Arabidopsis thaliana: one gene and its partners. The protein of the gene in region 4 interacts with the protein of the main gene of each other region in a pairwise test. Each region holds a gene or a part of one and is shown on either strand. Other genes may lie near its edges. The genes, in order: GATA6, AT5G26630, ZAT11 and ETC2.

Region 1 (5,888 bases), on a different chromosome or scaffold from region 4:
TATGCAGAATATAATGGTTCCTTTTTTCTACTATGGCAGTCTTTGAAAAACATTGCGTGGGGTAAACGTACTCGGGTCATATTGGATGTTGGATGTGGAGTGGCGAGCTTTGGCGGTTTCCTCTTTGAAAGAGATGTTATAGCAATGTCTCTTGCACCAAAAGATGAACACGAGGCTCAAGTCCAGTTTGCTCTTGAAAGAAAGATTCCAGCCATCTCAGCAGTTATGGGCTCTAAGCGACTGCCATTCCCGAGCAGAGTGTTTGATCTTATCCACTGTGCACGTTGTAGAGTCCCATGGCATAATGAGGGTGGTATGCTTCTTCTGGAACTTAATCGGATGCTTAGGCCTGGAGGTTATTTTGTCTGGTCAGCAACACCAGTCTACCAGAAGCTTGAAGAAGATGTTCAAATCTGGAAAGGTAATGACTAAAGTAAAATGCTTGAACTTAACTAGAGTTCCTCCTTCTTTTGTTTGTTTCACTGAACCTGAGATGTTTTGAGTGATGTAGAAATGTCCGCGTTGACAAAATCCTTGTGCTGGGAACTTGTGACAATCAACAAGGATAAACTCAATGGTATTGGTGCTGCAATCTACCAGAAACCTGCCACCAATGAATGTTACGAGAAAAGAAAGCACAACAAGCCTCCACTGTGCAAAAACAACGACGATGCAAATGCAGCCTGGTATGATTGTTTCCACAATTTGCATAGGGAATGAATAACCATAAGGTTTTAACAGAACAAAGAAAGTCAAAACTTGAATGGAAATTTCAGGTATGTACCCCTACAAGCATGTATGCATAAAGTTCCTACCAATGTGGTCGAGAGAGGAAGCAAGTGGCCCGTGAATTGGCCCCGTCGGCTTCAAACACCGCCTTACTGGTTAAACAGCTCTCAAATGGGGATATATGGGAAACCAGCTCCTCGAGATTTCACTACAGATTATGAACACTGGAAACATGTTGTAAGCAAAGTATACATGAATGAAATAGGAATCAGCTGGTCAAATGTGAGGAATGTAATGGACATGCGAGCTGTCTACGGAGGGTGAGCATCAACGAAAACAAATCAAACTAAAATCTCACTTACCAAAACTAAACCTTTTTTTACTAACTACGTAAAAATGCAGGTTTGCAGCAGCTCTGAAGGACCTACAGGTGTGGGTAATGAATGTAGTAAACATAAATTCACCAGATACACTACCGATAATCTACGAGAGAGGCCTATTCGGAATATATCATGACTGGTGTGAATCATTTAGCACATACCCTCGAAGCTATGATCTCTTACATGCAGATCATCTTTTCTCAAAGTTGAGAACAAGGTATAAGCGTAACTCATAATATCCACACCTTTTGGTAACGTTTCATCAACAATAAGTCTCTTGTTTTGTTTTGTTTTGAAAGGTGCAATCTTGTTCCAGTAATGGCAGAAGTGGATAGAATAGTAAGACCAGGAGGTAAACTAATAGTTCGTGACGAATCAAATGTGATAAGAGAAGTTGAGAACATGTTGAAGTCACTGCACTGGGATGTTCACTTAACTTTCTCCAAACACCAAGAAGGAATCTTAAGTGCACAAAAAGGATTCTGGAGACCAGAAACTTCTCAATGAAAGACGCTCTGAGAATCTGCATTTGAAAGTAGCAGAAGCATCATTATAATACAACACACTACTCATATCTATAATCCCCAAAAGAATTTGTCAGTATAAGAAATAGCTTTAGTCTTCTTAAACTATATAGACTAATTAGAACATTTTTGTTTTCCTTACTTCATATTGCTTTTTTTAACATGGTTATGATATTCTCTTGTAAGGCTATGAATCATTTCACTGGGAAAAGTAAGGCACACCAATAAATGAAATTTTGTTCCAACAAGTAGAAACATAGCAGTAATGAAGAAGAGATTATGATGCTTTAGCGATACCACAAGCCAAATTCACCATAAGCTATTGACAGGTAGCGAAAAGTCAAATTACAAAAGGAATAAAGTAGACATGAAATGAAACCAACAATCTTAAGCCCACATATGAATTCAAAAGAGAGGTTAAGAAAGAAGAGAATCTGACATCATGGGCAGAGTAGGAGCTGAAGAAGATGGGTTTCTGCAAATTTGAAGCTTTTAATCGCATATCGCTGAGTAATCATCACAAACAGTTTTGAATTGAAGAAGACGGGAGGAGAAAAGCCATTGTTAATGAGATACCCAAATCGTAAAATTTCAGAAAGCCCAGCCCAACATAGCCCAATACAGCCCAAATATGTATGTGATTGGGTAACGAAAACGAGACCGTTCTTTTTTCAGTCATCTCTCGTTTCACAGTAGCGCGTATGTACGCTTTGAATTTACAAAAAGTAGACATTTTTATGAATTTTTGCCGGTTGAGTAAAAAGGTAAAAAAAAATAGTTCCCACCAAAGCAAAATATTTCAATTTTTATCTTTTTTTTTTGGTTCTTGGGAAAATAAGAGATTGAGAAAGAATAAAGAAGAGAAACTCACAACTTTTTTAGTTTTAGGAGAAGAGGGCTTTGGTCTGGAGTCACTATCATATTCAATGCTTTACCAAACTCACCTCTTCTTCTAAATTCTCACCACTCTTCTTCTTCTTCTCATTCACCGACATATCTCCTCTCTTCACTCTCTGTCTCTTCTCATCTCAGGTAATTCCAATTTTAGTTTTTTTTGAAGGTTACTTACTCGTCACATTGTTTGAAAAAGATTGAATTTTTATCTGTGGCTTAGTCAAATCATGGTTCGTTTCACCAAGTTGTGGTTCTGGGTTTTCGTGATTTTTCTTTTGGGTTTTTCTGTTTGAATTTGGAAAAATAAAGGAACGTTTTTTTTTTCGGGGGGAGTTTTTTTTTTAAAGATAATTTTTGGAGAGTTTTTGATAATTCTGAGGAAGCCAAAAGAAAAGAAGAAAACCTAATTTGTGTTGGTGGGGTTTGATAGGAAATAATGGAGAGTGTTGAATTGACGTTGAAGAACAGTAACATGAAAGACAAAACCCTAACCGGCGGCGCTCAAAATGGCGATGATTTCTCCGTCGACGACTTGCTTGACTTCTCAAAAGAAGAAGAAGACGACGACGTTTTGGTTGAGGATGAGGCTGAATTGAAAGTACAACGAAAAAGAGGAGTCTCTGACGAAAATACCCTTCACCGGAGCAACGATTTCTCCACCGCTGATTTCCACACTAGCGGGCTTTCCGTTCCGGTATGAATTTGTGTTTTCATTTTCGCAAAATTTATAAAAATTATCAGTCATTGCATTGTTAATTTCTTGCTTTTCATGTTTTGATTGTTAGATGGATGATATAGCGGAACTTGAATGGTTATCAAATTTCGTAGATGATTCTTCTTTCACGCCGTATTCTGCTCCGACGAATAAACCGGTTTGGTTAACCGGAAATCGGAGACATCTTGTACAACCGGTTAAAGAGGAGACCTGCTTCAAATCCCAACATCCGGCCGTCAAAACCAGACCCAAACGAGCCAGAACCGGAGTCAGAGTCTGGTCTCATGGTTCGCAGTCGTTAACCGACTCATCTTCAAGCTCTACAACATCTTCGTCGTCCTCTCCTCGTCCTTCAAGCCCTCTATGGCTCGCCAGCGGTCAGTTTCTTGATGAGCCAATGACTAAAACACAAAAGAAGAAGAAAGTTTGGAAAAACGCTGGTCAGACGCAAACGCAAACGCAGACGCAGACGCGGCAGTGTGGTCATTGTGGAGTTCAGAAAACGCCGCAGTGGAGAGCAGGACCATTAGGAGCGAAGACGTTGTGTAATGCGTGTGGTGTGCGTTACAAATCGGGTCGGTTACTACCCGAATATAGACCCGCTTGTAGCCCAACATTTTCGAGTGAGCTTCACTCAAACCACCACAGTAAAGTCATTGAGATGCGTAGGAAGAAAGAGACTTCTGACGGTGCTGAAGAAACCGGTTTGAACCAGCCGGTTCAGACGGTTCAGGTTGTCTCGAGTTTTTGAAGAAATTGTGGAAGGTTTTTAAAGGAGCAGAATTAGGATCCGACCCGGTTCAGATTTATCACCAGTTAGTATGTTAACGGGTTATGTATGTTTTAAATTACAAATTTGATTTTTTGTTTGTTAGTCGTAGTAGGTTTTTAGATTTAGTAACTGGTTAAAACTTTTAAAACTCTTACTATTATATTTGTTTTGTTTCGCATTAATTTTCAGAATTCTTTTTTTCTTAACCTCCTCTAACGTTATATTTACGTTATAATATATAGTTTTTATATTAATTGATAGAGATGGTTCATTTTCTAGTTAGAATGTATGCTCAATAATTATTGGTAGACTGATAGTTATCAAGTGTATAAAATATGAGATCAATTTATACCAAATTAGGAGTAGGCTTTATTTCAGGGTTAGTAACTCCAATTTTTTGTTGTTACTTATTTATATCCATCACATTTTCTCTTGTATTTCTAAAATTGACATAATATAACTGAAAAAAAAAACAAATTTCACAAATAAAAATATATACAATAACTGAAAAAAGAAAAATAAACGTACTGGGCACACTCTCTTATTGACTAATTTATTACTCTGCGTATTTTTGGAGATTGAATACGACCTTAGTTGACGTGATAATATTATCCATTTTTGCAATGTGATAATATTCGTTGACCATATCTTTGAGATTATCACGAATTACCAATTTACCTTGGGACTTTATTCCTCGTATGGTTTTAGTTGAGTTGACTATTAATAATAGCTTTTAGTACGTGTTTCGTAAATGCTGCATAATATGTAACTAACTAAACAATTCGAATATATATATACTAGTTTTAACATTCGTCTCACACGCTTAGCTTTCTCCTTCACAACGATGAAAACGTCTCCTGATTTCAAAAGTGAGATCATACTCTTTTTTAATTTGCTAATTTTTTAATAACAAATCATATGTTTTTCTTTTGGCTATATTTAAGGGAAAATTACACAAGAAGCATAAACATTAAAAGTTTGAGAAATTACTATTTCTACGTTGAAGGTATACATTTTGGTTTTTACTTTATATATACACATTACATTTTTGACCATTCGGATTGTAGACGTTGTGCAATGCGTGGTAGAGTTTCGAGTGGGCTCCATTCTAATCACCACTGTTAAATTCATTGAGATGTGTACAACGGAATTAAGAAGATGTTCGACAAGGCTGATAAACTTGATTTAAACCCGCTGGTTCAGGTTGTGCCGAGTTTTTGAAGAAATAGGGAACATAATTAGGATCTGACCCGGTTCAGTTTTAGCATCAAGTACTTTCTGATTAATTATTTTGAACTTTTAGTTTGTATTAACTTGATTATTGTTCGTGGTAGTCGTAGTTTCAGATTTTAATAATGACTGGTCATATTTAGAGCTTTAAAAGTCATATGTCGTTTTGTTTCGCTGCTTTCTCTGAACCTCCTTTAATGTTGTATCTACGGTAAAACATATAATCTCTTTAACCTTGGAGAGAATATGAAACCGTTCGAAATTTTAATACATGACACTAAGACATGGCCACATGGGGACATTCGACATCCATTTGATCTACTTCATTATTTAAGTTTGTTAATATTTCAACGTCATGATCCCGTTGGTTCCCTTTCGATAGTTATTGAAAATGCGATAGTTATTTTTTAAACTCCATTTTGGTAGACTGATAGATAGCATTGTCATTAATCAATAATAATAATTTGGTATTCCTCACTATATATTTTGTGCTAGGGTTAATAATTTGTTTTAATGTCGTTATCGCACCATATCACTAGTATCTAAGTTCAAACTTGCATAATGTATTCAGTTGATAATACTTTTTATATCAATACTTCAAAGGAAAACACAATTATTCAAAACGAGGCATATTTTACAAGCAT
Region 2 (4,954 bases), on a different chromosome or scaffold from region 4:
ATTAAACTTTATATTTTAGAATACAGTTGTCCCTATTATAACTTTAAAAATAAAACTATTTTTGTAGCAACTAACTATATTACCTTCGTCAAATGAGAAAAGGTAAAAAAAATCTCAACATACACATTTTGACCCATAATAATCACAACTTACACAATTTGGTCAGTAAAAATCTTAACTTACGCAATTTGGCGAAAACAAAATTTGAATATTTTTATTGCAAAAAATAGTTATCAACTTATTTGTTTTGGGAAATAAATTTTTATTTAGGTTTACTTTACCTCATTTAGTTCAATGTTATTCAAACTTTATGGGGTGTTAAGTTTGATTATGTTGGCTCTAATTTGGCAAAATCAATTATATGCATTTTGTCTATCAAAATCCCAACTTACGCAATTTGGCCGGTCCAACTTACACAATTTGGCGGTCCAACTTACGCAATTTGGCCTGTAAGAATTCTAACTTACGCAATTTGGCTAATACAAAATCTCAATATTTTTACTGCTAAAAATAGTTATCAACTTATTTGTTTTAGCGAATAAATTCTTATTTAGGTTTATTTTATCCCAATTTGTTCAATGTTAGTCAAACTTAATGTAGTGTTAAGTTTGATTACTGTTGGCCCTAATTTGGCAAAATCAATTATACGCATTCTAGCCTATCAAAATCCCAACTTACGGAATTTGGCATGTAAAAATCCTAACTTACGCAATTTGGCCAATACAAAATCTCAATATTTTTACTGCCAGAAATAGTTATCAACTTATTTTTTTTGGCGAATAAATTCTTATTTAGGTTTACTTTACCCCAATTTGTTCAATGTTATTCAAACTTAATGGAGTGTTAAGTTTATCAATGTTGGCCCTCATTTGGCAAAATCAATTATACGTATTCTGCCCAATAAAAATCTCAACTTACGCAATTTGGCTAGTAAAAATCCTAATTTAAAATCTGAATATTTTATTGCCAAACCTAGTTATCAACATATTGTTTTTGGCGAATAAATTCTTATTTAGGTTTACTTGACCTCAATTAGTTCAATGTTATTCAAACTTAATGGAGTGTTAAGTCTTAAATCACGACCTTTTATACAGAATTAAACCTCTTAAATCTTGAACGAGCTTGGTTGTCGAAAAGTGATGGATCTAAATTACAAATATTTGAGACTGGACACAATGGCTTGGTTTCCATTTGTGTTTATGTTCAGAGAATGCAATTCTTGTGCCATTACTGTATAGAAAACATGTTTTAAGAACTGATATGATGCATGCATTTATTCATAACGATTATATATAAGGAGAAAACATTAATTAACGAAAGAAAAATAAATTTCATTCATGAGAAAATACAACTACATGTGAAACCAACCCAAACATGTAACTTAAACAAACAGAACTAAAACAATAACTTTTTATTGATAGTTGAAATGACAACAACTTAAAATAAGATCAACGATGGCTCACCACTGTTTCTTGTTCAGATCCAAATCATTTGTGGTCTGTTTCATATTCAAAGTAATTTGAATTTGATCTCGAACCTTGTCGTAAAATCCAACCGAAGAAGAACCCATCTCAACCACAGGCATGACACTAGATGTTGTAGGGGCAGCAACAGGAACGAGGGCGGAAGATGGTTCATTGTTCCTTTTCAGAATCTCGATCCTACGATTAACATCTTTGAGTTGTTGTTCAATGACATAACCAAAATCTCGAAGCTCAGTTTTTTCGATACTAGAAACCAAAGTTTTGCCACTAAGACAATCAAACATAATGTTCTTCATCTCCAACTCTTTGTTCTCTTTCCGCAACTTCTTCCAAGACTCGGTTGCTTTGGTGATCCTCTGTTGGAGAAAGGTCTCTTGGTTCACCATCTTCTTGGTCTTGTCCATCACCGACATCGTCTTCCATTGGGACACCACCTGGTTCGCAGCCTCTCTCGATGGCCACACCTCCGGGTTCAGCTCGTACGGACTGTTGACGACAGCAAAGATCGGGACGCCACAAAGAATTCCCAACTCTTGAGCTTTCTTCAAAAGACCTTTCTTTCTTTTCTTGAATGTTGATTTTCTTGCTGTTTCATTTTCTATGAAAGTCATTTTCACTTTCTGTCTCGTCATGACTTTATTTTTTTGTGTGTTATACTTTTGAATGGAGAAGTGCTTTTTATATAGAAGATCTGATTGTTGGAATTAAGCAAAATTTATCTCAGTTCAACCATATATATATCATACCTTTTTAGGGATATCAAAATTGGTAATACGATAATGGAAAGAAATATATATATGTTTAGAAGTAAATTTTTTTTTCAATTTTTTATTTTTTACTTAGGAATTAAGGAGTCTACTAATCTAGTTACAAGTTTTTTAGTTTGTTTGTGAAAAGTATAGTTACACTTTAACTGAATAATTGTCCTTGTTAACTTTTGGGTATAGTTACTTCTTAATACCAAAATTTTGCATAACAAGAACTGACACTTGTTCAAAAAGACTTATAGACTTATAGTCTTATAGTGCTGAGTTTTTAAAATAGTTTTTATCCATGACCAGTTGACCGAACGACTATTCTTTATCTGGTTCATAAAATATTTTTTAAAATAATTGTTATTACTAATAATTATCCAAACATATCTTATGTGGAAAACATTTACTTTACAAATATTTTTATCATTATTTTTTCTGAAATGTTATATGTATGGAAAACATATCTACATATAATAAAGATAAATATTACATAGTTTGAACATACATAGAATATATATCTAGATGATTTTACTTTATATTGTGGTGGGTAATCTTGACTGAAAAATCATTTTCATAAAGATTTTTTAAGTTTTTTTTGCAAACAAAGTATAACAAAAAAGGTCAAGAATCAATTAAAAAAATGTTTTTAAAGGGTAACTACGGAAGTAATTTAAAAAAAAAACATTCTTAAGAGGATATTACTCCTTCCGTATTAGTTTAGGTTTCGTTCTAGCATTAAAATTTTGTTTGATAATATTTATCGGTTTAGATTTTTAATGTAGATGTTTGGTAAAAATTCCAATTATATTCTTATTGTTTTTATGTCATTACCAATAAAAAAAATATTAAACAAGGGTAAAATAAAAAAAAATTGATTTTTTAATTTCTGTAAAAACACCATAAACGAAAACTATTTCAAAACAGAGGGAGTATTAGTTTGTGTATGTTAATTAATTTGGAAATCTATATTATTACCTTTTGCCAAAGATTTTGAAATCTATATAAAATTTAAAATGCCATGAAATTTTCAAAATCTAACATGTGGATTTGAACTAGCATTTATAAACCATTCAAAATAATTAGATTCGCCCACATATTTAATCTTTGTATTTGTAACTAGGTTTTGTACCCACGCTATACGTGTGTATTTTTGATATATTTCGGTAAGAAATACATACAATTAATTATATTTTTTAAATCGAAGTAAAAATTCAATTTTATTTCAAATACACTATATTAAAATTATAAAAATCAGTAGTGTTTAAGAATCGAATTTATTTGAAAGAATCATAAATCAATTTTATTTTTTCATATTCAATTGAATGTCAACACATATGTCTTTGTATTTCTCTTCACATTCGTTGTTTCTTACTTTTCATATTCATTCTTGTCATCTTAATTATTAATTTTCTTTTAGCCGTTGTCATCATTACTTTCTCGTTCACTTCTTCGTTATAGTCTTCATCTTCATCTTCCTCGTTATTTTCTCACTTTCTTCCTCATCCTCTCTCTATATTATTCTATGTAAAATATTCGTTATTATGTGGTTAAAAAACAGAACGAGAAATTTAAACTTAGTAACTTTAACCAAACATAGTTCAATAAGCTTACGAATTAACTCCTAAAACGACTTAGTTCATTTCACCATCTGAACCAAAATTTGATCCCTTAGTTCTCGTCTCCCGAACATGCTATCAAATTTCAGATTATTCCGAGTACGTTGGATTTTTGTTTGTTGTCTCCACATATTTGTTTAGATCTAAAACTTTAAAAGAAATCTTCTTGAACCTGTTGAAGAAGTTGTTTAAATCTATATTCCACTATTCAACCTTAGGAGCCCAATAAACAAATTGTGAGGGTTTAGCCACTTAGCCCAAAACGGACAATATCATATTAATGTGGAAGTTAGATTGGACTTGGAAAGCCCAAGAGTATTTTGGTTAGTGATGTTGATGACTTTCTAGTAGTTTCTTATGAGGATTCTTCTTATCAACTCTCAACTGATTCATATAGGGCAGAATAAGATCAGTTGATCAATGCGCCTGCAATTAGTATTTGTTTTTTCAAACACAGGTTTTTCATGGACTCTCAGTGTTACAATGTTTTCAAACTCAAAAACAGAGTAAATTCATTGACTCTCAGTATTACATGCAATTTTAATTTATGTAAGACCATTCAAGGGAATTAAAAGCTAAACACAAATCCAAAACAAATCTAATGTGTGTTATTGTAAGCCTATGTGTGTTAGGGTTTCTTTGGAAAGTGATATAAATAGGATTGTTATGTGTCTAAAAGATGTAAACAACTCTCGTTCATCCATTTTATGAAATATTAACCACAATCTCTTTGTTTTGGTGACAATCTAAGTTATTTTCCCTCTTTTTATATTTTTGCACAATAAAGCTCTAATGAACTATTTCAAATTATAGCATTTTGACTATTTTCTATTTCAATAATCCTTTGTTGGATTCTCTTACGGTTCATACACCAAAACTATTACATTGTGAGAAACTTTAGATGGCATGGGGTACATGGGATGCTCAAGATGAGACATGTGGGTTATGTCGGATGCCATTTGATGCTTCTTGTCCTGACTGCAAACTCCCTGAGGATGATTGCCCTCTAAGTAAACTCCTCGGGGATTATTGCCTGTTAGATTAGATATATGAGAATCTTATATTTGTATATATCTAATATCTTATGAACAGATTTATG
Region 3 (4,835 bases), 2.7 Mb from region 4:
CTCTTGCTGTGTTTCTATATCTTAGCATGTGTTTTGGTAATAATTCAAGTGCCTTTCTCTTCTTAGTTTCTCACTACATCAGCAACAGAGGCTTCTGCAGTCGCTCAGGACATCCACAATTTACTTAATGATCAGAAGAAGCTCTTAGCACTTGCTGCAAGACAACAAGAGCAGGTGCTGTAAAAATCACTTTCTGGATTCTTGTTAGTTTTACTATTTTTCTGAAAATTCAAGTTTGTTTTCAACTTATCCAGGGCTTGGTCAGAAGCATGAGATCTGCACAAGAAATTTCCAATTCAACTTCAACCATTTTCAGTAACATCTACAACCAAGCCCATGACGTGGTGGAAGCCATTAGAGCAAGCCAAGCAGAGAAATCAAGACAGCTTGATGCTTTTGAAATGAAGTTTAAGGTGAGCTGGGACAAACTCTTAAAGACTTCAATTATATATGTTCTGAGAGGTTCGCACAAACTCATCCGTTTTGATGAAAACAGGAAGAGGCTGAAAGAGAGGAGAAACAAGCCTTAAATGATATCAGTCTGATATTATCAAAGTTAACTTCAAAGAAAACTGCAATGGTGAGTCTTTAACCATTATAACCCCCTTAGGCTTGTTTTATTCATCAGTTGAATCAAACTTAAAGACTGATGCTCTATGTGTTTCTAGATTTCTGATGCATCAAGCAATATCCGGGAACATGACATACAGGAAGAGAAGAGATTGTATGAACAAATGTCTGGTATGCAGCAAGTCTCGATTGGTGCAAAGGAAGAATTGTGTGACTATCTAAAGAAAGAGAAAACTCACTTCACGGAAAACACAATAGCTTCAGCTGAGTCTATCACAGTCATGGATAGTTACCTTGAAGATTGGTATAAATTCCATCTCCCCACTGCTTTCTATTCAAACCTCTCACTTAATTTGCATTATGTCTTCTCATACAAAGATTGTATTTATTGCAGCTTGGGAAGGGCCAATGATTCTAAAACATTGTGGGAGACCACTGAAACAGGCATAAAGAACCTTAACACGAAGTATCAACAAGAACTTAATGTCACAATGGAGTAAGTTTTTAACTTCTGTATCCGTGCATCTCTCTGTTTCCACATCATTTCACTGAATAAACTATCTACGTATAGGGACATGGCAAAAGAAAATGAGAAGGTGCAAGATGAATTTACATCCACATTTTCCTCAATGGATGCTAACTTTGTCTCTAGGACAAATGAACTTCACGCAGCTGTTAATGGTAACCACACTAAACCTCTGTTCCATTCCCTACTCAAGAACTACTCAAAAACGTCCTAATCCTTGGTTTTACAGACTCATTGATGCAAGACCGTGAGAACAAAGAAACAACAGAGGCTATAGTAGAGACTTGCATGAACCAGGTCACATTATTGCAGGAGAATCATGGACAAGCTGTTTCAAACATTAGAAACAAAGCAGAACAGTCTCTCATAAAAGACTATCAGGTACTTAAGCAATCATAATGGAAAATCTATAGTGTGATCTATATGTGTATACATTAACAGCAAAGCTTTGGATAAAATGAACAGGTTGATCAGCACAAGAACGAAACACCAAAGAAACAATCCATAAATGTGCCAAGCCTGGATTCGATTGAGGAGATGAGGACTTTGTTTTCGCAGAATACTCTCAGCGAAGAACACACAAGTTTGGAGAAAATATCAACAAAACAAGGACTTGGCGAAGCTAACAACAGAACTCCATTCTTGGAAGTAAACAAATGAGTAAAAAAGAAAGCTTATGTTCATCAGCTGGATGAGTGTAGAAGATTAAGACTGTGTAAAGGTTGTTATGTAGTAGTACGCAAGCTTATGTTGTCATGGATAAATCTGGTTATATTTTGACATTAAACCGGTATGCAGATTGCTGAAATTTTAGATTTTATGGATGACGTTTCCGGTTAAATTGGCTTATTTTCTCATTTGAGTCAACCAAATATGAAAAAAAAGAAAAGTAAAGAGAGAACAAAAAGAACACAAGACTTTGCATTGCTTCCACAAGAAAACATAATAAAGTCAAGAATAAGCACATACCTCTAATAGTCTAATTTACCACTTTTTTTTTTACTTTGACTTGCTCTTCCATAAAATTCAATTGCTGTCGTCAAGAATCCGTCACTGGTGACGATTTCAGTATTGAGCTCTTATTACTATCTAGATGAACAATGTATCAAAAAGGCTTTTGTTTGGTCTCTAGTGCATGTGTTTGACCAAATTGAATTTTCTCTTCGAACAAGGTAATGATTGTATTCGAACTTGGATCTGAAGATTACTTTTGTATTTTAGCTTTGCGCAAGTTTGAAGATTTATTTTTTTATAAAAAAAAAGTCTTGAAGAATGTAGTTTTTTTTTTACTATACAATAAAATATGAAAAAACAGTTTACCAAAGGGGAAGAATTACTTATTTAGAGCTCTTTAAGGCTGTATTTTCCAATGATTAGTCTAAAGTACATTGAAATCCTTAATTTTATATTTTTTGATTAGGATACAGTTGGTTAGGTGTTGATATAAATTATTAAGTTATGCCTGTGGCAAGCAAGTCCATGAGAAACCAAGTTGCTTGATTTATTCTGTGTTGTGTACACATGTGTTGACTATGCTACTTTTGTTAGATTCACATTTTTAGCAGTAGAAGTTTCTAAGAAATGAGAACTATGTGATGTATTACGGGAAAGACGATATTACCCTTGTTATTCAACACCCGTGGTATGCATTGTGCCGGCGGTCGAAGGGTGATATTGAAAATGTCAACTTGTCTCAAGTCAGAGAATCAGTGCTCTGGTAGTTGTGTTAGATAGAATATTAGTTTAGACGACTTCTTTTGGTCAAACTACTAGAAAGTCCAACCTTTTAGGTAATTGCTCTTATATAAATATACATTACTTCTAAGTTCTCAACCTTCATTACAAATCCTCTCAATTCAGGTTTCTTTTCTAACAAGCAAAAACTCCAACCTTTACTTTATTTTTGTTTTGTTTTGTAACCCTCTCAGATCTTAATTCTCAAAGAAGTATGAAGAGAGAAAGATCTGATTTCGAAGAATCCCTCAAGAATATTGACATTGCTAAATGTCTGATGATACTAGCACAAACCTCCATGGTCAAACAGATCGGTTTGAACCAACATACCGAGAGCCATACAAGCAACCAATTCGAATGCAAAACATGTAACAAGAGATTTTCTTCGTTTCAAGCCCTTGGTGGCCACCGGGCAAGCCATAAGAAGCCAAAGCTCACCGTTGAGCAGAAAGATGTGAAACATCTTAGCAACGATTATAAAGGAAATCATTTTCACAAGTGTTCCATATGCAGTCAGAGTTTTGGGACCGGACAGGCTTTAGGTGGTCACATGAGACGGCATAGGTCAAGCATGACGGTCGAGCCATCGTTCATCTCTCCGATGATTCCATCCATGCCGGTTTTGAAACGATGCGGTAGTAGTAAGAGGATTTTGAGTTTGGATTTGAATCTGACTCCGTTAGAGAATGATCTTGAATATATCTTTGGGAAGACATTTGTCCCAAAAATAGATATGAAGTTCGTTCTTTAGTTTTTTTTTTCTTTATCTTTAAGAAGACATTTGTCCCAAAAATGATTCATTTGTATTGTAATTCCTATTCTTTTAATTCTTCAAACGTTAATGTCAACAAACTTCATGGTATATGTGTGGGGTCCCTACTCCCTATATAGTATATTCATATGTGCGTTCTTGGTTATCATGTACGCTAGAAAAAGATTTTAAACTAAATTATTTAGTTTCCATTCCTGGAACAAGTACAACATATTCATAAGCGGGCCAAATTTTGGGCCATATCCCCTATGGAATTGGAAACATATTCCTTTTGCCTTGGCATGTATGATATGCAACAAAGGATCCTGAATATATTACGTTTATCATTTTTTTGCCAATGGCTTGAATTTATATTAGATGATTTTTCTCTAGACAATTGCAAAATTCTATTGTCGTCATCACTATCGTCGGATATTTCTTATTTTTGCCATCATCATGTAATTTAGGATATGACATGCTTTGATTATTATCATTTTTTTCAGTGGCTTTAGTTTTGATGTTAGATATTATAAATTTATAACAAGCTTGATCCTCTCTAGTTACCTAAATTATATTGTCGTCAACTCGTCATCACTAGTGTAAAAATATCTAATTAATTTCTTCAGTTTAATTAATTTCCATTCAATTTTGACAAAAAGAAGAAAACAAATCGAAAAAAAAGAGAAGAATGACCGTTCGGAATTAAAACAATGCATGAGTTTTTAACTCTTATAGCTCTTCAGTATAACTTGTTCTTTAATGGCAGTAAAAATAAAGAATGTAACTTGTTTTTCTTACTCTAATGTCATTGTACAGTCTGTTATATATTTTGCTTCTATTTCTTTTAGTTACATCTAAAAAATAGGTGTAAGACACAGTTATAGGATTTATAGCTATAGGTCGCCAGGTAAAATGTACATAATTATGTGGGAAAACCTTAATTTCTGCTTCTGCATTTCTGCTTCCGTCTTTCGGCTTCTCAAGGTTTAATTTATGTTTTTTAACGCCTTTCAACACTTAAAGCACTACATCGCCGTGTTTGTAAGATACTTTCTCTCATTCCTTTTAGGTTTTTCTCCAGCGCGTGTTTATTAATTAGATTTAATATAAAATGAATTTTATCATCTCAGTTCTTTAAATCTTCATCATTATTTCGTCAAATACATTAAAATAGCCAGAAAAAATCAGTATATAGATGCTAGATCATGTGTTTGTGTGTGGATTTTATTTTCATTTTTTCGCCTCATTCATTAT
Region 4 (5,191 bases):
TGTTTGGTACTTGCTCAGAATCCAATGGCAACGATAAGGAACTTGAAGATAAAAACATCAACATGTAAAAGGATTGTGAAAGAGCTTCACTCTTATGAGAAAGAAGTTGAGAGAGAAGCGGCTAAGACTGCTGATATGAAGGACAAAGGTGCTGATCCCTACGACCTTAAACAACAGGTACAGATTTCATTGTTTATCTCTCTGTATTCGAAGATTCGGAGCCCGTCTTTGTTCGTCAGAATCTAGAAATGCTGTGTTGTGCTGTGTTTAGACTTGGTTTTTCCTAATCTGTGTATGTGGTGATGCAGGAAAATGTGTTGGGTGAGTCTAGGATGATGATTCCGGATTGCCACAAACGTCTCGAGTCTGCATTGGCTGACCTCAAGTCCACTTTGGTAAACTACATTTTCCATTGTTATTGCTTGCTAAGCGTCGGTCTAGCTTTATGTATTAGTTTATAAGAAACGCTGAGCGGTGATTTGAAGTTTAAGAGCAGTAGTACATTATCAAACTATAACTTTTATATGTATCTATAGCGATTGGATTAATCCCCTGCATGAAACCATCTTAGTCTCTCTTTGAGGAAAAATGATGAATAAGGACACAGAGGAAACTGTGAATTCGTACTCTGTCTTTTGTCTCTAATGAAAACTGAATTTGCAGGCGGAATTGGAAGAGACGGATGAGAAGGAAGGTCCAGAGATCGAAGATGCAAAGAAGACAGTCGCGGATGTGGAGAAGCAGTTTCCCACTGAAGATGCCTGATTTAGCCAGCGATGAGTGTTAAATCTGTATTCTGAGAATGGTTAATCATCTGTAAGAATCTTTATATCTAAGGTTGCTTGTCGACTGTATACACTAAAAATATCTTTCTTTAACATTTTGGTGATTGTTCTTTCATTCAATATCTTTGAAATGGCACACTTGCTATAATGTGTTGTAAGCTGCAACTTAACGATTGATAATTGATATAACTTTGACAACCATGATTGTAAACTAAGTGAAGATTAAGAGCACGGATTTAGAAAAGGTGATCTTATTCTAATTTGTTTTGCGAAGAGATTCAACAATTTCTGAACCATTTATATGATGAGAAGACATTCAAGATTTGTTCTACTTTTATGATTGAAAGCTTTTATTTTGATTTCTTTACAATTTTAGATTTTCTTGGAGATTAAGAGGAGAAGTAGAAAAAAAGGGAGAATTATTAAGACGTCGTCGTTTGTGAGAAAAATAGTCAGAGTTTCTCATAATCCAGTATCTCTCAATCTCATTTGCCTTTCTTCCTACGACTCTTCCTGCTATTAAATCCCACCTGACAATCAATATTCAAGCATATAATGTGTTTTTGAATTATAGACGAGCACAAAATTCTGAAAAAACATTTATCAAAATTCAGGAGTCAACATATATAATGCAGAAATGAAATTTAAAATGTATATATATAAAGACAATAATATTCAAGAGCCAATATATTATTCAATCCTTTCACTGTTTTTAAAATCATCACACTTTAAGAAAAGAAGAAATTTTAGTTTCTGTTAATTATACATTTTATCAGTTTATCAACAACATAAAACTTTTTTTGAAATTATACAAGTAAAATACTCATGTCATTGCTTAAATATTGGCATGTCATTTTTCTCGAAACACGTTCGAAAGTCTAAACTACTCTAGAATCATGTTTACCATAACATAACACTTTATCAGCTTTGATTTGTTACTCTCGCCATGTGAATTTTTTTTAAATTATAAAATACTAGTTTTTTTTTTTTTTTTTTTAATTTTATAAAATACTAGTTGTTTTTAAAATATGTTGAATCGGACATGACAGAAGAAGAGAATTTGTTACCTATTACCGACAAGTCTGTACATTCGAGAGATGAGATCTTCTTCTTGTTCGGTCATACTGATAAACTCCCATTCGATGCTACTCACTTCTGCATTTTTGTTTCGTTTTATCCAAACAAAAATTAAATGAGAAGATAATTTAACGCTGACGAGTTAGGAGGATGAGTGTAGAGTAATGAATTGAAGAGAGACCTTCAGAGTCATATCGGGATCGAGTGAACTTAGTTTGCCTAAGACTGGGACCGCGACGAAGACGAAGACGGTTGGTATTATCCATAACTACTGGAAAATAGAAGAATATTAGATAAATTTACAGAGAAACTGAAAATGTAGAGTTTGGAGAATGCAAGATATAGAAAAGATGTGAGGGAAAAAAATAGTTATATAAAAAGAGAGAGAGAGAGATAGGTGATTTATTTTTTATTGGAATTTCTACGTATATATTCCTAAATTTATAATTCACATTTTTGTTTTTATATATCCCGATCGAATACGTCAAAACATAATTTCGTGATACGTTCGATTTGTTTTTTACTATTCCAAAAAGTTCATAATGCTCACAATAAATTTTGATCAGATTTTGTTTCTGACCTATAACAGAACATTTTAACAGTCACTAAAATGGCGTGCTAGTTTTATTTTTTTGCCTAGTAACGTATTAAAATCGAGTGAAAAACATCACATGCAAATACACTTCTCAATAAATATTATGAACACGTAATCCTACAAGTTCTAATTTAAAATCACAGTTTTTCTTTTTATATTTTAGAAATTTTTACGGACGGAGATGGCTGTGGAATGTGGATGTACATAATCTATAATTTTATTTTACAGTTCTCCAATAACATTAGGTGAAATTTTTTCCCCGAAATTTTCGACTTCGTGAAAATTGGACAAAAAAAGTCCATAAACCGTTAATTTCGTGTTGTGATATAGATTTGTGGGTCGTAAATAATACTAGCAAAATCCAACAAAACTTTTGTTTTCTTGTGCTTTTTTCTCTTTAGATTTTTTTGTGTGTGTCTAATTTTACATATGCATGCCCTACAGATAATTCCTATTTATGCATCTACAGAACTCAATTATCGTCTCAGTGATAATAAATGCAGTAACTGTAAGAAACGGACGTATCAATTTCTTTTCCTGACAGATTGAAAGTTGTCTTAGAGAAATCGGTACTTATATAATGAGCATATCATTTTCTCAGCGTGAAATCAGAATGAACCATTTATGATTTTACCCACTATATATTAAAGAAGTAGGTTAGGAGAAAATTGATCCTACGTGGTACGTATTAGCTAAGACCAATTCAAAAATATGAAATTCCTCTAATTTATCATTATGTGATCATAATACTGGATATATATAAATTTATCGACAAGCATTCGTTAACAAAAGGAAAGTTATCGACAACATTCAGTATAACAAATTTTCAGTCATGGACTAGAACGACTTCATTGAAACATGCTTTCGGATTGCAGCTGTTGTCTGGTCACTTCGACTAAACTTGTAAAAGCTGTCGAGACAAAATCATACATTTGAAGTATCCCATATGGCTATGTACGTATATATACAAATTTTAAAACCAGATCAGTAATTAATGCATACGAGCTCAGGGCTGGTCCTGAGAGTATTGGGCACATACGAGCTTCTAAGACGGCTGATATGACGGACAAAGGAGTTCACCTGTAATGACCCGCTCTCATTATAAAGATTTTATGTCGTGATCATTATTAAGGTTTTGAAAGTTATTAATATATATACACAAATGATGGTTCTCATGTGAAGAATGGTTCTAAGTAAGAAAGGACAAGAAATTATATTTGCCTAAAAGTGTTTAAAGATCAGGAAGCTTGGTATACACTGGAATTATAGGATCTGATTGGACTAAAAAAGGAAACAGGGCTTAATGGCCCAATATGGTGAGCAAAATCTAAAACTCCTATATTATGAGTCCTGAGCTCTCACTATCTTGAGAATCAGATAAGTTTGAGGGTCAAGATGACTAAGAGATGGAGAGATGCCAAGCATTATATCTGAGGGCTCGATGGTTAAGATAGTGAAATGATGGATGGTTGAGATAGCTAAGTGGTTACGAACAATAGTGCATACGAACATGTGCATGAAATTGAATGTATATGATATGTGAATGTGAGCATGATTGTATGAACGATTTAGGTGTCTTAACTCTTAAGCATGAGATTATGTGATTTGATAGTATTGATTGAGAGTGGTTTGTTAATTATGGTGATAGCATGTGGGTGGAATTAACCTTAAGTAACTCATGCATTCTTTTAGGGATCCCCATACTTTTATGATGCACGTAAGGAGTTAGGAGTCTTATATTAGCTTATACAACTCCTTACTTGCATGTTAGTTAAAACATTTTCCATCGTCAGAACTCTTTCTTAACCGTAAATTAACTCTTAAACACAAATGAATTGCAAGTGGAATTATAATTTAAATGGCGGAGGAAAGGAAGGGCCAGAAGTTAATTAAAGACAAGAATAGAGGTAGCTCGAGAAGATGAATGATTATACCATCTGAGTGTAAGGTGTGTGTGAGTGGTCCTTCATCTTTGTCGGAATGGTAAACGCTAAATTTCACGATAATTTATGACACTAGGAATTTTATTAATCTTCTTTCTTTGCTATCTACTAACTTCAAAATATCCTCGTTTAATCATTATTTTTTCCTATCAATATTTTTGACGGAGTTACAAAATGTATAGTTGGAACAAGACGAGTGGCACAACTTGTAGAATTGACAATAACTTAGACAACCATTGATGAGAAGAATAAATATCGATCGAAGTTTTGTTCTACTCAACAACTTAAAGCTTTTATCTTGTCCATAATAACATAAAATTAAGGAGGAGAAATAGAGAAACGGTAAAATTTGTGGACTCGGCGTCGTTTGTGGGAACAATGATCACAGTTTCTCATAATCCAATATCTTTCTATGTCCTTTGCCTCTCGTCCTACCACTCTTCCTGCTATTAAATCCCACCTAGTATTATTCAGTTCATGGCCAAAATCTTTTTAATTAGCTATTTCATTATGAATGTTTGCATATGTTATAAAAAACATTATTTAAATTTGATAACTATATTTTCTATAGTGAATTGAATTAATTAATAGAGAGAAAAGTAAATCTTGGTTTTAAAATATGTTCTAATTATAAAATATATAAGAATTTTCAAAAAAGTAACATCAAGAGTATACATGATTAATACTCAAAATTCGTACCAACGTTTATGAGCTAGCCAAGCATATTTGGAAGTGATATATGCTAATATAAAAGAGTTATCCCACAGTTATCTCGAGCATTATCATATAAG

What was found.
Region 1: the proteins of ETC2 (region 4) and GATA6 interact in a two-hybrid assay, tested with the Arabidopsis thaliana proteins (one large-scale study listed by BioGRID).
Region 2: the proteins of ETC2 (region 4) and AT5G26630 interact in a two-hybrid assay, tested with the Arabidopsis thaliana proteins (one large-scale study listed by BioGRID).
Region 3: the proteins of ETC2 (region 4) and ZAT11 interact in a two-hybrid assay, tested with the Arabidopsis thaliana proteins (one large-scale study listed by BioGRID).

The regions. Positions count from the first base shown.
Region 1 is NC_003074.8:18,970,676-18,976,563, forward strand, and holds GATA6 (GATA transcription factor 6), read left to right. Parts: upstream 1-2,450; 5' UTR 2,451-2,665; intron 2,666-2,957; 5' UTR 2,958-2,963; coding exon 2,964-3,221; intron 3,222-3,312; coding exon 3,313-3,993; 3' UTR 3,994-4,217; downstream 4,218-5,888. Other genes in the region: AT3G51070 (S-adenosyl-L-methionine-dependent methyltransferases superfamily protein), read left to right, coding at 40-421, 512-686, 777-1,049, 1,132-1,326, 1,409-1,616. UniProt on the Arabidopsis thaliana protein: Transcriptional activator that specifically binds 5'-GATA-3' or 5'-GAT-3' motifs within gene promoters. May be involved in the regulation of some light-responsive genes.
Region 2 is NC_003076.8:9,347,977-9,352,930, reverse strand, and holds AT5G26630 (MADS-box transcription factor family protein), read right to left. Parts: upstream 2,120-4,954; 5' UTR 2,117-2,119; coding exon 1,460-2,116; 3' UTR 1,311-1,459; downstream 1-1,310. Other genes in the region: AT5G26640 (anaphase-promoting complex subunit 11 RING-H2 finger protein), read left to right, coding at 4,757-4,890.
Region 3 is NC_003071.7:15,703,410-15,708,244, forward strand, and holds ZAT11 (C2H2 and C2HC zinc fingers superfamily protein), read left to right. Parts: upstream 1-2,875; 5' UTR 2,876-3,044; coding exon 3,045-3,581; 3' UTR 3,582-3,815; downstream 3,816-4,835. Other genes in the region: AT2G37420 (ATP binding microtubule motor family protein), read left to right, coding at 67-174, 255-413, 497-580, 669-874, 965-1,066, 1,142-1,251, 1,326-1,477, 1,562-1,756. UniProt on the Arabidopsis thaliana protein: Probable transcription factor that may be involved in stress responses.
Region 4 is NC_003071.7:12,959,788-12,964,978, forward strand, and holds ETC2 (Homeodomain-like superfamily protein), read right to left. Parts: upstream 2,376-5,191; 5' UTR 2,129-2,375; coding exon 2,044-2,128; intron 1,941-2,043; coding exon 1,853-1,940; intron 1,316-1,852; coding exon 1,150-1,315; 3' UTR 1,060-1,149; downstream 1-1,059. Other genes in the region: KIS (tubulin folding cofactor A (KIESEL)), read left to right, coding at 25-177, 309-395, 664-765; TCL2 (Homeodomain-like superfamily protein), read right to left, coding at 4,719-4,860. UniProt on the Arabidopsis thaliana protein: MYB-type transcription factor involved in epidermal cell fate specification. Acts as a negative regulator of trichome development, by mediating lateral inhibition.